2 linked regions of the Saccharomyces cerevisiae S288C genome follow. The gene in region 2 interacts genetically with the main gene of each other region. Each region holds a gene or a part of one and is shown on either strand. Other genes may lie near its edges.

Region 1 (4,023 bases), on a different chromosome or scaffold from region 2:
CATTTATCGTTTGATGGTCATCGAATAGAAGATTCCTAAGCCCTTTTCTTTTTACTCAAGATTTTCTTTTTCAAGCGTGTTTTTTCTGGCAAGTACGAAAACGGCATCTTCGAACTTGGCGAATGAACAATCGGTTTGGTTCAACATTTCCAAGAACAACTACAACATACTATCAGTGTTACTTTCAAAAGTCTTTTAATACATTTGAAATGATATTCAGTGGAAGTGGAATGAAATAGGCCACAGTGAATAGGCCACGATACACACAGCATGTGTCATGCTCAATACCTTGCACCTGAATCTATATAATCTTGTAGTTCACCATTATATACATAACTCAGAAGAAGAAAACAATACGCATATTGGATAGTGCTCCATCGCTTTTAACAACTGATAATTTCAGTCATCTGGCTCAGGGTCTTGTCGATTTTTTTTATTTAGAAACTATCCGAATAAAAAAACCGCAGGAATACAAAGCGATGGGAATTGCTATTTCACTGAACATGTATGTATACCGTATACCGCATAAAATAACTATAAACCTACACCATTAAACGATGTGTGCAAAGAAGCTCAAATACGCTGCTGGCGATGACTTTGTACGCTATGCTACACCTAAAGAGGCCATGGAGGAAACTAGACGTGAATTCGAGAAAGAGAAACAACGACAGCAACAAATAAAGGTTACTCAAGCACAAACTCCCAACACTAGAGTCCACTCAGCTCCAATTCCCTTACAAACTCAATATAACAAAAACAGAGCAGAAAACGGTCACCACTCCTATGGTTCTCCCCAAAGTTATTCTCCAAGACATACGAAAACACCTGTGGATCCTAGATATAATGTTATCGCACAGAAACCAGCAGGCAGGCCTATACCTCCAGCGCCAACCCATTATAACAACTTGAACACTTCCGCTCAACGGATAGCTTCCTCTCCTCCTCCCCTAATTCACAATCAAGCAGTGCCTGCACAACTCTTGAAGAAAGTTGCACCTGCTTCGTTCGATAGCAGAGAAGATGTACGAGACATGCAAGTGGCCACACAGCTATTTCATAACCATGATGTAAAGGGCAAAAACCGACTGACAGCTGAGGAACTACAGAACTTACTACAAAACGACGACAACTCCCATTTTTGTATATCATCAGTAGATGCGCTGATAAATTTATTTGGTGCTTCCAGGTTTGGCACTGTCAACCAGGCAGAATTCATCGCCCTATACAAAAGAGTGAAAAGTTGGAGAAAAGTTTATGTGGACAATGATATCAACGGATCGCTCACCATTTCTGTAAGCGAATTTCATAACTCACTTCAAGAACTAGGATATCTAATACCTTTTGAAGTTAGCGAGAAAACATTTGACCAATATGCTGAGTTTATAAACAGAAATGGAACAGGAAAAGAACTAAAGTTTGATAAATTCGTTGAGGCGTTAGTTTGGCTAATGAGATTAACAAAATTATTCAGGAAATTCGATACTAATCAAGAAGGCATTGCAACCATACAGTACAAAGATTTTATCGATGCTACATTATATTTAGGTCGTTTCCTACCTCATTGATGAAAACCATTCGTTCTTTCTGGTCGTAATACAAATAGAAGAGGTAAACCAATCAATGGCCCGTTAGTTTGCCATTTGCTGCATCCTTCCCATGCAAAGTGTCTTCGTATTTAGTGATGTTTTGTTAGCGACACAAAAGAGACCTCGATGACAGACATTTTTTTTTCTTTACTTAATGTATTATAAGTGTGTCTGACCTCGACTATCATTATAATATTAATTTGAAGTTCTATTTTACATTTATATGAGTTATTCCATTACATAATAAGGATATCAAGAGCAGATTAGTGTCTTTTAGATTATACATCTTTTTCCCCCCTTTTTTGTTGTTGGTAGTGGAAAGAAAAGGATCAATTAACAGAAATAAATAAATAAATAATAAAAACCTAAAATTCCTTTTGCGTCATTGAATTTTTATTATGAAGTCAAAAGGGAGTCGGTTGTCAACAGACTGTCCTGTCGAATTTCCCAAGATAGTCTCTGGATTCGCTGAGGAAGTGAAAATACGTAGACAAAGTTCCCAAGGACAGTACGCCGTCGATTCACATCCTCCGAAAAGCCCTGAACTGAAACACAGAAGACAGAGGTCATCCTCTTTTGTTAACGGTAAATGCAGGAACAGGGACCTTCCATTGTTAGATAACAAGAAAGCACAAGAAATAAACACCAATTCACACGGCCAAGACATCGGTATCAAAAACTTACCACGTCAACGTGAGTTGTTGAATGCCAAAAATGGAATTGATTTTACGCTGATGGTGGCGGGTCAAAGTGGATTGGGTAAAACCACGTTTATCAATTCCTTATTTTCTACTTCTTTAATTGATGATGACATCAAAGAAAACAAACCTATTATTCGTTATAAAAGCATTGTAGAAGGAGATGGAACACACCTTAATTTCAACGTCATCGATACACCTGGTTTTGGTAACAATATGGATAATGCATTTACGTGGAGGACAATGGTTAACTATATTGATGAAGAAATAAGATCGTACATTTTCCAAGAAGAACAACCTGATAGGACAAAAATGGTTGATAATAGAGTCCATTGTTGTTTGTACTTTCTGAGACCTTCAAATAAGGGAATTGATACTTTAGACGTCGTAACAATGAAAAAATTAGCGAAGAGAGTGAATTTAATCCCGGTTATTGCTAAATCAGATTTGCTAACGAAAGAGGAATTGAAAAACTTCAAAACACAAGTTAGAGAAATAATAAGAGTACAAGATATCCCTGTATGTTTCTTTTTCGGCGATGAAGTTTTGAATGCAACACAAGATATTTTTCAAAAATATCCATTCAGTATAATTGCATCTAATGAGTACATTTTTAATGAAAAGGGCGAAAAAGTTAAAGGAAGACAATACAAATGGGGCGCTGTTGACATTGAAAATGAAAAGTACTGTGACTTCAAAATCTTGCAAAAGACGATTTTTGATTGGAATTTAATTGATCTTGTAGAAAGTACCGAGGATTATTATGAAAAATGCAGATCTGAAATGCTAAGAACTAGGCTATTAAAGGCCAGAGATTGCTTAACAACGAAAAGTGTTGACATAACGGAAGAACAAAGGAAATTTTTGGAGGAAGAAATGAACTTCGATGAAATCGAGGAAAACAAACTCAAAAATTACAAGTGCTATGAAATAATTAATAAAACGGTCATGGATAAGGTGGCTACAGAATGGGATCCTGAATTTATAACTAGACAATTAGAAGCTAAGAAAAAATTCAACGAGCTGTCCAACAGAGAAATTTCAAAATTTCGAGACTGGAAAAAGAGCCTATTCATGGAACAAGAGAATTTTAACCAAGAGATTGAACAATTGAATCACAAGTTGGAAAACTTACAACTGGAATGTCAGGACTTGGAATACAAGCTGTTAATCGGAAAAAGTTCCAACAGCCATTCCACAGATAGTGCTACTTTAGTAAACGTTCACATCAAAAGGTAGTATTAATTAAAAAAAAAAAAAAGCCAATAATTTCGCGCAAGCTTTGCTCTACATAATAAAAATACAATTAGGATAGAAATGAATATTTTTTTAGCGGCAGTTTTACCATAAGTAGCAAAACCCTAACAATACAATGTGAGACTAAAGTAAATCCGGGTAATACAAAATACAATTTTTTTTTATTCTTCACAGCGTTTTTTCGACGGAGGAGGGAAAAAAAAAAATTGTATTTAAGGCATCAAATGCGCGACATCATATACCTTTGTCCGCTGTTATCATACCTTGAACCTCTACATTTCAGCCTAGCGCGCGCAAAAAGAAAAAAAAATCATAAGCAAGAGTGGTACGGTAACCACAAGGCAATGCAAAGAAGGGTGCGATATCAAGTGATGTTACCTTCCTTTACTTTTTGCCTTTTTCTTGAATTGTCAATCCGCCCTTTTTTTCTTTTCAGTTTTTTCTCCTTTCATCCGTCTCGTTTATCATAATGATGATTTCAC
Region 2 (3,228 bases):
GAAAAGTTAAAAGGAGAACTAGGGCACGAAGATTTGATAGTTGGACTACATGACTATGGTAATCAGATGCAACCGAACGGAAGAAGTGAATGGGAGATAGGAATGATCAACGGCGACAGAAACTTAAAATATAGCGATGTGATACCTGAATACTACATGAAGCACCTGCTGGAGTGCCGCTCGCTTTGGTAAAAAAAACTGTGGTATAATGCGTTGCCTAACAATACTCTCAAGAGATAATCAAGATGAGAGAAAAAGAATCATACTGGATGTCCTTAATCGATAACAAAAAGTTTTTAATGAAGAATGACTAATGATGAAATTGTTATACAAATACAAACAAACTACACGCTTGCACATCTCAGAAGTGAAAAAAAAAAAAAGAAAATTGAAAAGTAAATTAAAAGTCATTTATTTTTTATTGCTTAAATAAAACAAAATGATATGTCATATTCTCGATTGGATGTCAACCCAATTTTATTCTTTGGTTTGCCAGCATGATCATCTTCACTTGCAAATTATATAGTAAATAACCAATTAAAATAATAATAGTAATAGAAACAGAAAGTAGAACACTGTTATTGGATTCTTTCAGTTGGAATTATTCATATATAAGGCTTAAGCCAAAGATGGCAAGTTAGAAACGTCAATGTTACGGTTCTTTTGAACGGTGTTAGCAGAGTTAGTAGCGTTAGCAGTGTTGTTACCCTTTCTAGCGCCTCTACCACCACGACGGTTGTTGAAGTTGTTTCTGCTGTTGTTGTTTCTGTCACCGAAGTTCTTTCTAGTGTTAGATTCAACAAAAGTGGCATCAAATTCCAAGTACTCCTTGGTCTTCAATTGCTTAGATTTGACGTTCTTGACCTTGGTTGCTGGAACGTAAGCTTCCTTTTCAGCAGTTTCAATTCTTTCAGCGTCTAATTCAACCTTCTTAGCTTCTGGGACCTTGTTGAACTGGTTGTTAGCTTGTTGGTTCAAGTAGTCTTGCAAAGACAATTGAGCGGTCTTTGGCTTACCAGCGTCTTCAGCTTCTGCAGCGTCTTCAGCAATTTCAGCAGCAGCATCGGCTTGAGCTTCCTTTTCAGCACTCAATTCCTTCTTGTCATCACCCCAACCTTGGTTAACCTTCTTCTTGGTGTCAGTCTTACCAGTTCTAGAGTGGCGGTCAGTGGCCCTTCTGGTGTTGGACTTCTTGGTGGTGGCAGAGTCAGTGACATCCTTTGATCTGTTGTTTCTTCTACCAGCGGTCTTGTCTCTGATAGCACCCTCGTTACCAGAAGGTCTTGGTCTGTTCTTTCTAGCCTTGGATGGGTCAGCGGATGGAGGTGGGACGTCAGCCTTCTTGGAGGAAGTGTTGCTCTTGACGATTTCCTTTGGTGGCAAAACGACAACGTCAGCGTCTTCGACGTCGTTACCTAACAAATCAAATGGGTTGGACATTGAGAATAAAATGTGTATGCTTTCTTGGTTTATTTCTACTTCACCTCTAAAAGAATACTGTGGGGGGAAGAGAAATTTGCAAAGAAATAACTTCTAATTTAAAACTACGAAGCAGAAAAAAAAATCTTCCACAATAAACCAAGTATACAACTAAAACAAGCGAAGGAAGGAAGAAGAACAAAGGGGATATCGACTCAAAATCAAATATTACAAGGAAAATACCATATAATTTCTCTACTCAGTTAGGGCTTCCTCTACGCAACGATGATATCAAAATTGAAAAAAAAATTTCTTTTTGCGTTGGTGCGAACTTTTGGGAACACTTTCCATTCCAATAATTTCACTTTCCTTTATCTTTCTAAACGGTGATGTTACCCGTCTAAATAACAACATGGTAGCGCCATATGTTATACGGCTACAACTTTGTGTCACGTGACATTGAACGGCTTTAAAGCGGAGTATGATCTCTTTTCTGAGGCAATAAGGGGTGATGATCAGAAAGTGAGGAGGAGGAGACTCTGGATTAAAAGCCTATTACAACTTTATTCTAGTACAAAACTTTTGCTGATTAAGCAACGACAAGTAAGATCGAATAAAGTGGTAGAAAAACAGCAATAAGTTACAAAAGTATACGTGTTAAAGAATGACCATTGATGGCACGGGGCAATCTAAGGAGGCGCTGCAAGATGAACGGTTAAATACTGGCTCTGATAAGGTTTACCAAAACTATATGATGCCTGCTTTAGAACTCTACGATGCCAAGGTCTCCATAAACCATTGGCAGTTGCGGGATTGTATCAAACCAGGCTCCATGAACCAGAGTAAACTGTATTATATTTACGATCATTCGATAAGAGTACTAGATACGGATTCTTCCGTATTGAGGTCTCCAGTAAGGCGACATAATTCTATTCAACCGAGTAACAGTGGTAAAAACTCTACTGAAAAAACGTCTACAAAAGGTTCTAGGACAACGGGCTCGTATATCTCCAAAAATTTACATGTTCCTTCCGAGAAACTGGTAGAGTTCAACTTTAAGCCGAGATGTTTCACGGAATTAAATGGGTTGACTGTTTGTGGTGGTCTAATCGGTTCTGATGATAAGGGATTCCCTTCTAATTGGAACCGTTTAGCTCAAGATGCAAATATTTCGTTGCCGCCACCTTCCCAACCGATTAATATTTCCAAAAATATTAGTTTCCCTATAAATTCACATTATTCAAATCCTAATATCTGGAAGGGCATCGTGGAGTTTTATAATCAAGAAACGGACACAATGATGACTTTTACGTTGGGCCAGTTCATCAATAATTGTGTCACACTTTATGACAGGGCCAGTATGCAGTTTGATCTTTTTGCATGCAACAATGATGGTCATCTTTACCAATGCGATGTAAGTAATAGAGATGTAACACTAGTGAAGCGTTATGCGGATTTAAAATTTCCTTTGAATAACGCTTCTTTGTCACATGATGGTCAAACGATGGTAGTGTCTGGCGATTCTAATAAATTTGCTGTTTACAATCAAAATGAATTAACCAACCAATTCTCCTTACATTACGATAATCATCCTTCCTGGGGTAGTTCTGTCAATCGTGTTAGACGGATACCACGGTTTGCGTTACCTGATGAATCAGAATATATCGAAAACATATATGAAGCTCCAAATTCAGACCATGGGTTTTATAACTCTTTTTCCGAAAACGACTTGCAATTTGCGACGGTATTTCAAAATGGTACTTGCGCAATTTATGATATCAGAAACATGGCTACTCCCATGGCAGAAAT

The links.
Region 1: mutations in STM1 (region 2) and SPR3 together harm fitness more than expected from each alone (negative genetic interaction), as found in Saccharomyces cerevisiae (2 studies listed by BioGRID).

What each region holds. Positions count from the first base shown.
Region 1 is NC_001139.9:605,579-609,601, forward strand, and holds SPR3 (septin SPR3), read left to right. Parts: upstream 1-1,984; coding exon 1,985-3,523; downstream 3,524-4,023. Other genes in the region: PEF1 (Pef1p), read left to right, coding at 558-1,565. UniProt on the Saccharomyces cerevisiae protein: Septins are GTPases involved in cytokinesis that assemble into filaments and form a ring at the cleavage site. May act by recruiting MYO1 and HOF1, a protein involved in septation, to the site of cleavage.
Region 2 is NC_001144.5:438,679-441,906, reverse strand, and holds STM1 (Stm1p), read right to left. Parts: upstream 1,441-3,228; coding exon 619-1,440; downstream 1-618. Other genes in the region: PCD1 (8-oxo-dGTP diphosphatase), read left to right, coding at 1-192; GID11 (Gid11p), read left to right, coding at 2,084-3,228. UniProt on the Saccharomyces cerevisiae protein: Ribosome preservation factor that protect a small pool of nontranslating, vacant ribosomes in cells under nutrient starvation conditions.